2 linked regions of the Sus scrofa genome follow. The protein of the gene in region 1 binds, or shares a complex with, the protein of each later gene. Links are inferred from orthologs where the notes say so. Each region holds a gene or a part of one and is shown on either strand. Other genes may lie near its edges.

Region 1 (4,580 bases):
AAATGTACAACTTACTGGGGCCAAATTCCCACCTGCTGGAAAGAACAACAAATATGTGTGTGGAGATGGGCCTCGTACCCTGTGCCGACATGCACTGCCCTGCCATTGGTAATTCTGGTCCACCATAAAGACAGCGAAGCCTGAGACTGGCCGTTCCTAGCTCCCAAGGGCTGGTGCTACTGCAGTGGTTCCTAGGGGTGTCCTCCGACCAGCAGCATCAGCATCACTGGGGAACTTGCTAGAAACGTACATTCTCAGCCCCCACTCCAGATGTACAAAATCAGACACTTTGGGGATGGTACCCAGCTCCCCAGTGACTGATGCCCTCATGTTTGAGAAGCACAGTGGCACAGCAGTTACTTATCAAACACCAGTGTTTGTACCCCCACAGCCTGCAGGTGGCAGTAAAGGCCAGCTAGAGGAATTACAGGCACTAGAAGCTCAAGTTCTGTCTCCAAACCGCCTGCCTAACCACATACACTGTGCTTTTTAACAGTTCCTTAACAGCTGGCTCAGCCTCCTCCAAAAAGTTCAGAGGCCACAGTACGGGCTCAGCTCTGAACAGGAACTGGACTGAAACTCCTCTTGCCACCAGCCAGTAGACGTATTAAACCTACAACTTCCAGAGATGCAATCAATAATTACCTTAAAGGTTTTTACGTTTAATGTGATGAGGACACAAACATACTTTAAGAATGAAAATGTCAGTACTCATGTGGAATCTGAAAAAAGGACACAATGAACTTCTTTGCACAACAGATACTGATGCACAGACTTTGAAAAACTTATGGTTTCCAAAGGAGACAGGTCAGGGGTCGGCGGATGCGCTGGGGTTGTGGGATGGAAATCCTATAAAATTGGATTGTGACGGTCATTGCACAACTACAAGTGTAATAAACTCATTGAGTAATAATAAATAAATAAATAAATAAACCTGAAAAAAAAAAAACCCAGAATGAAAATGTCCGTACTGACTAAACAGAACAAGATAAGCAACTCGAATTATTCTCAGTCATTACGTGCATCTGAAGAAAAATAACCCACTTGATTCTTAATGAGTCCCATCATTAAAATCTCATTGAACTAATGTGACAACAGTGAGAATTTTTCTACGGTAAAGCATGTATCGGGTAGCCCTTTGCTGGATTCTGTGAAGACCTGAACTTTGCATGAACTTTTCCTCTACAAACTATAAATCTCCATTGAGGATGTGCAGCAACCGGCCAGTGAGAGTGGAAATCGGTGCTACCACTTTGGAAAACCGCTGAGCAGCATCTACCAAAGCTGAACATACAGTATCCAGGACTAGCAATTCCACTCCTAAGTCTACACTGCTGAGAAAGCCTCCTAAAAAGAGTGTTCTTAGAAGTGTAACTCATAATGGTTACAAACAGGAAATAATTTAAATATCCATTCACAGAAGTCGAGATAAATATTAAGAACATACATATGATAAAGACACATAGGAAGCAACAAACCAGACTACTGCTACACAGAATATGGATGAAACTTACAGATGTAACGCTGAGTGAGAGAGGCCTGGCACCAAGGAACACACACTTACCCCAACAAGCAGAAGGAACCTCTGGTGACAGAGGTCAGCAGCGGGGTTACTGGGGCTATCCAGCAACAGGTAAGAGAAGCCTACTGGAAAAGTTCTAGGTCTTGACATGAGGAATGCTTACAGGGGTACAGATATATGAAAAGTTCATTGAGTTGCACCTGCTTAAACTTGTATATGTTACTATATGCATACTTCTTTACAAATGGAGAAAAAGTAAAACACAAAAAATATCGACAGATTGTCATGTAACAATTTTCAATATCCACCATAAAAATCTAGATTAATGGCCATCTATATTGTTATCAGAGTATCATTTACTTGAAAAATACCATATTTGCCGAATAAAGTCTCCAAGTTAGATACTGAAAACAATGGGTTTTCCTTATATCCAATGTTATGTCATCAAATCAATCTATCATCCCATGAAAGGGCCAAACCTTTCTGACCTGCACTCCCTGGTCCCAACTCCATTTATTCTGACACTTCATGCCAATCATGGCTGGCAACTGATGTCCATCATCCGAAGCCTCTGCGGTCCCTGAATCATCACCCCGGGGAGGCTGAAAAGGCAGGTTCCACCACTCCCATCATTAGCTACCTGCCTGAATCTCTTTGAATCACCCTTGTCCTAACCCCTGCCACACAGCTTCCCTCCTGCCTCACCAACCAAGGCCTGTCCCAGGGAAGGGATGGGGTTAAGACACCACAGCCTCCAGGCCGATGCGGGTCTACTGGATCCTCGGTTCCGATCTAGTAGGTCCCAGATGCCTGGCCGGCTGTCGAGTGGCGAGGGGTATCAAATTACATCCCAGGAGCGGACAACTGCGGAACCTGCGCCGCTCTCCGCTGGCCTGGGCCGCAGTCTCCAGCCCACCTGATCTACAAAGAACCCCAAGGGGGAAAATCCGCTCGGTCGGTTTTTGCGCTTCCAGCTCGGGTTTTGAAACGCACAGATACAGAACTTGAAACCGAAATGAAGAACCACGTGTTCCGAGAGACACTCGAGTCCCGCGCGCGCGGCCGAGGGGCGCGCAGGGCCTGCGCGGGGTGTACCTCGGCTGCGCGCGGACAGGGGGGCCCGCCGGGGTGCGCGCGCCGGGGCCGCCGCTGAGAACCCGCCTGGGCGCCGCCCCCGCGGACGCTCGGCGCGCGCTCCCGCGCGGCGGTTGGGGGACAAGGGGCCGGGCCGAGCGCGCCGCTGCCCCGGGGCGGTCGTGTTTACCTGGGACCAGGAACACGTGCTGCCGGCCGCAAGCCCCGTCTCTGCGGTCCATGCTGCCCGCCGTGCCCGCCGAGCGCTCCGGGTGGCCGCAGGCCTCTGCACGCGGAGCGCGGGCCCGGCCAGAGCCCCGCGGCAAATGGCGGGAGAAGGGACTTTACCGAGGAGCGCAGCGTGCAGAGGGCGGGCCCGGAGGGCGGCCCGCGGGGAGAACCTCGGGCTTTCTTTTCGTTTCGTTTCCGGAGCCCGCCAGTGGCTTAGGTTAAGTGTTTAAATTGAGCGCCAGGCCCAGGCCGGCGGAAAGGGTCGCGGCCCCTCCGCCCCGCGGCGCGGCCAATGGGAGGTGCTCACCCGCGGCGCCCAGTGACGCGACGCGCTGGGCGGCGACCCAGGGCGGCGGCGGCGGCGGCGGCGGCGGCGGCGGCGGGCGGATCGCTTCAGCCCGGGGCGCCGGGTCTCTGCTTGCAGCGGCCCAGGGTCTTCCCAGTGGGGGAGTGGGGACCCCAAGGCTGGTGGACTCGCACACACCTGGCAGAAGGGAAAGCCTGGAGCGAATCCACGTCCAAATCCTAATGCTACTCTGGTCATCGTACCTTGATTATTATTTGCATCCTGCGTTGGAAGTAATGCCCGAATCTAGTGTGCTGTGTGCTTCGTGACACAGGTAAAGCAGTCCTCAACTTGGGGTTAGTCCTTGTCACTACGAAGAGGTGCACAATTTGAGGCTCAAAATATGCATTTGCTTTGAAAGACAATTTGCAATGAGTTAATCAAGACATTTTAAAAGCGTTATTTAAAAAGTTAGAGTCATGAAATTTGAAGATTTAAACTTTTAAAATAAAATTTTAATTGTACACGGTTTTAGAAAAGGTGGTAATAAACATCTGTCTCATACTTTAAAGAAAAGTATGACTCCCTGCTAATAACCCAGATCTCCAGCCCTCTTCCCCAGGGGCAATTACTGTTAAGTCTGTCTATTCTAACAGGATCTTGCCATTCACAAGTTCATGTCTCTCTTTTTTCTTTTTTTGCACAAATGGTATTTGGGGTATATTTATTTTTCTTCAAAAGATATTCAAAAACAGAAACATTTCCCTTTATAATGTTAATTAAAATGCAAAAGATATATGTATGTGTATATATATGTCTATACACGTATAGACATATATATACTCCTACATACACATATATATCTGAATATGCATGCATTATGAGTATACATAACTTTAATGCACTTAGGTTTTTTGGTTTAAATCTTGAAGATAGTTAAATTCAGCAGCACTAGATCTATCTCAGCCTTCTGAAGGGTTTTTTTAATTTCAATCCCATTTCCCATGAGGGGGGAGAAATGCAGCTAAGTAAGTTGACTGCAGGCCACACCTGGCAGAGAGGACCGTTGAGGAGGGAGACCCAGATGCCAGCCCCGGGGCAGGCAACAGGTCGGTATTATTGCTCTAGAGCTGTTTTTGTCGTTCTCTGATCTTTTCCAGCCACCGGCTGTTTTCATGTGTGTTTTCATGTGGTTGTTTTCACAGTGCAGAAACAATTTTGCCTGCTTCTCTCCCTTAACGTTGCTGTAAACAAGTTTCCCATGTCATGCAGAACTATGACTGGAGACGTGCTGTTTCACACTGCTCATGTGCCAAGGTTACGTGACCATGCCCTCGTGTGCAATACTAAGTTTATTTCAAACCGTTACTCTAAAAGATGCTGCAGTGTATACTCTACATGGACTATGCAGCAGTCAGAAACAATGAACTAAAGCTACACATAGCAACATAGATGTTTTATAACAAG
Region 2 (3,499 bases), on another chromosome or scaffold:
CATCTGTGACCTACACCATAGCTCAGGGCAACGCCGGATCCTTGACCCACAGAGCGAGGCCAGGAATCGAACCCGAAACCTCATGGTTTCTAGTCGGATTCATTAACCACTGCACCACAACAGGAACTCAAGGAATCGTTTTAATCTTTTAAAGTTTTTTGTTTTAATTTTTTACACTAAGAATATACCATTGGGGGGAAAACTCAAGGAAAAAATCTAGAACCCACTGCACCTGGCGTGGATTGAACCTGCATCCTGGCACTGCAGAGACGCTACCAATCCTATTGAACCACAGAGAGAATTCCAGAGCTCACTTCTTCTAAGGGCACTAATTCCACCCTGAGGCTCCATTCCCTTTGGGCTGCCTGCAGGAAGTCCTTAGCACTTATTGGACACGTGTCGGCTGTTACTTTTTGACTTTTCGTAGCTGAATGGAACACATTAAGAATTCTTTCCAGGGAGGAGTTCCCTTCGTGGCTCAGTGGCTAACGAACCCAACTAGGTTCCATGAGGATCTGGGTTCAATCCCTGGCCTCGTTCAGTGGGTTAAGGATCTGGCGCATTGCCTTGAGCTGTCGTGTAGGTCACAGATGTTGCTCAGATCCCATGTTGCCGTGGCTGTGGCTTAAGCTGGCAGCTGCAGCTCCAATTCGACCCCTAGCCTGGGAACCTCCATATGCCACAGGTGTGGCCCTAAAAAGCAAAAAAAAAAAAAAAAAAAAAAAAAAAAAATCTAGGGAGAGACAAGATTAAGATGGCAAGATAGCAGAGCAGAAGGACTGGAACTCACCTTCTCTCATGAAAACAACAAAATTACCACCAACTGCTGAACAACCTTCAACAAAATAGACTGGAAACTACCAAAAAAGATATCCTACCCCAAAAGACAAAGAGGAGGCCACATCAAGATATTAGGAAGGGCGATTACTCAATATAAACCTCATACCCATTGGGTGAGCGGCCCACAGACGGGAAAGTAACCATATTGCAGAGGCTCACCCACGGGAGTAAGAGTTCTGAGCCCTACATCAGGTTCCCAACACCTGGGGATCTGGCATTGGGAGGAGGAGCCCAAGGAGCATTTGGCTATGATCCAGCAATCCCACTCTTGGGCATCTATCCAGAGAAAACCATACTTGAAAAGATACATGTAACACAATGTTCATTGCAGCACTACAGACAATATCCAAGACACAGAAGCAGCTTAAAGATCCATCAACGAAGGAGTGGATAAAGATGTGGTACATATACACAATGGAATATTAGCCACAAAAAGGAATGAAAATAATGGCATTTCCAGCAACTTGGATGGACCTAGAAATTACCATGCTAAGAGAAGTTAGACAGTGAGACACTAACATCATATACTATCACTTATACGTGGAATCTAAAAAAGGGGTACAATGAACTTAATAACTGATTCACAGACTTTGAAAAACTTACGGTTACCAAAGGCCTCAGGTTGGGATGGAATCTGGGTTTGGGATGCAAATGTTCTAAAATTAGGTTATGATGGTCGCACAACTACAATTATAATAAAATTCATTGAATCCTTAAAAAGAAAAAAAATCTAGGACCTGAACACCGGTGGACAAGATTGCAGAAGCCTCAAAGAGGGACTACGCTTCCCAGGAAGCTCTGGGCTGAGAGTCCCGGGCCTCCCGACAGGCTCTGCGCGCTTCACGCGCCAGCTTCGGCCTTAGCCAGCGAGCGGCGGGGTGCGGCCGAGCCATGGAGAGCAGCGACGAGGAGTCGGTGCACAGGCGCCGCGTGCACCTGCGCCCTTTTACGCTGCGCAGTCCCGCCCCCGTCACGCTGCACCTTCTGCCCTGCGAGGTCCCGGTTAGCCGGCCCGCCCCGGTGGGGCGCTTCTTCACCCCAGCCATCCGCCAGGGTCCCTACGGTGAGCGCTCGCGGCGGGACTACGGCTCCCGGCAGCCCCCGCGCCGGCGTCGGGCTCTCCTCGGCAAGGAGCGGCGCGAGGGCTCCCGGGGCTCGTGGTCCACCGGAGGTGGCGGGGACGGCTGCTCCCGGGCTTGCCCCGCTAGGCCTTGCATCAGGCGTCACTGTGGCCCTGCGCCTGCCTCTTCCAGGGCTGGAAGCGTCCTTCCGGGGCCGCAGTCTGCGCGGCGAGGAGGTGGCGGTGCCGCCCGGCCTTGTGGGATACGTGATGACAGAAGAGCAGGGAGAGGTGTCGGTGGGGAAGCAGGACTTCTCGGAGGGGTCGGAGGAGGACCACGAAGTGATGGAATCCCCGGAGACGCTGGAGCGGGACTTCGTGAGCACCGGGGTATAGGGTTGGAAGGGAGTGCAGGCGGGAGCGGCGGCTCGGGTGCTGAGCTGGGACCCTTCCCCAGGACCGCTTTATCGGCGCCACAGCCAGTTTCAGCAGCTTCACCCTGTGGGGCCTGGAGACTATCCCTGGTCCGGATTCCAAAGTGCGTGGGGCCCTAACCTGGCCCAGCCTTGCTGCAGCGGTGAGTGGATGGATGGGCCCTTCCCTCCCAGGCTCCCCTTCAGAGTTGTTTGCTGAATCTTGCCCTTGAGTGGACTTGGGGCTTTGGGGCTGGGGAAAACACTGGGGCAGCATGGCCTCCCACCACTCTTCCCTGTCCTGTCTATGATTCTGAGCAGTTGGATCTCTGCCCTGAGTATCTGGGCCAGCTAGTCACTATACTGCAGCAATCCGATAGTAGGGATGATTTCCTCCTGTTGCAGATTCACGCCCAGGTACCAGAGGACTGAAAACCAGACCTTGAAACTGAAAGCCACTGATCCCTTCACTCCAGTGAACCCCTTCACTTTGGGAGCCTTCGTCACCCCAATAAAGGCGCTCTTCACAGAACCTGTGAGTGTGCCAGTGCTGTCTTCTCCCACAAGAACCTTTCATGGCTCTGGCCCATAGAAACAGTTTATTGCCAGGGGGCAGTGGGGCAAAAGAGGCCAGAATTTTGCAGCCAGTACCTCCCCCCCATTCCTACTTTACAAAAGAAAATTGTACAGCCACCAGCCCCCTGTACAGAGCACCCCACCCCCTATCTCACTGTACACAGCTGCCTGGCTCCCTCTGGTCCCTGGTTCACAGCAGGCCTGGGCCTGCAGCCAGCTGACCTTGGAGTTGACCTGAGCCCTGAGCTCTCCTTGGTGCTAGGCACCAGCTGGCCTTTACCAGGCCTGTCCTCTCCCTGTGGAGCTGTCCTCAGCCCTGTCTCCCCTTGCTGTGCCTCTTGGAGACCCCAGTGGGGGCGGGATAGGCTGTCAGCCCCAGTTCTGCTGGCTTTGCCGGCACTGCTAATGGGCAGTGCCTGGTCACCACTTTCCCCTCTTGCTCCAGTCCTTGGGAGTGAAGTGCAGACACTTGGAGTCGATCCGAAGAAGCCGCTTGAGCATAGCCCGTTCATGCCCGTCCACGATGTCCTCCGACAGTGTGAGGATATACTGGCCCTGGACGGGAGACGGGGCCAGGCAGGTCAGCCCGAGCAGGGCTTGCACGCTGCTC

What was found.
Region 2: the proteins of RNASEH2B (region 1) and RNASEH2C are in contact, whole or in part, in a crystal structure (PDB 3PUF), measured with the Homo sapiens proteins. The link is inferred for Sus scrofa from reciprocal best matches to the Homo sapiens genes RNASEH2B and RNASEH2C. Residues at the interface, in NP_078846.2 of Homo sapiens: Arg14, Gln15, His16, Val17, Phe18, Leu19, Val20, Ser21, Glu22, Leu24, Leu35, Met36, Phe37, Val38, Lys39, Leu52, Glu62, Lys64, Phe66, Glu68, His70, His71, Ser72, Trp73, Phe74, Ile75, Asn76, Gln77, Ser78, Val79; in NP_115569.2 of Homo sapiens: Ile9, His12, Arg13, Val14, His15, Leu16, Ser18, Ala27, Thr28, Leu29, His30, Leu31, Leu32, Pro33, Cys34, Glu35, Val36, Ala37, Val38, Asp39, Gly40, Pro41, Ala42, Pro43, Val44, Gly45, Phe48, Phe63, Val75, Pro77.

What each region holds. Positions count from the first base shown.
Region 1 is NC_010453.5:16,908,829-16,913,408, forward strand, and holds the start of RNASEH2B (ribonuclease H2 subunit B), read right to left. Parts: upstream 2,979-4,580; 5' UTR 2,839-2,978; coding exon 2,787-2,838; intron 1-2,786. UniProt on the Homo sapiens protein: Non catalytic subunit of RNase H2, an endonuclease that specifically degrades the RNA of RNA:DNA hybrids. Participates in DNA replication, possibly by mediating the removal of lagging-strand Okazaki fragment RNA primers during DNA replication.
Region 2 is NC_010444.4:6,561,437-6,564,935, forward strand, and holds RNASEH2C (ribonuclease H2 subunit C), read left to right. Parts: upstream 1-1,656; 5' UTR 1,657-1,731; coding exon 1,732-1,903; exon of another isoform or gene 1,904-2,093; coding exon 2,094-2,278; exon of another isoform or gene 2,279-2,357; coding exon 2,358-2,477; exon of another isoform or gene 2,478-2,718; coding exon 2,719-2,745; 3' UTR 2,746-2,845; downstream 2,846-3,499. Other genes in the region: histone acetyltransferase KAT5, read right to left, coding at 3,310-3,444.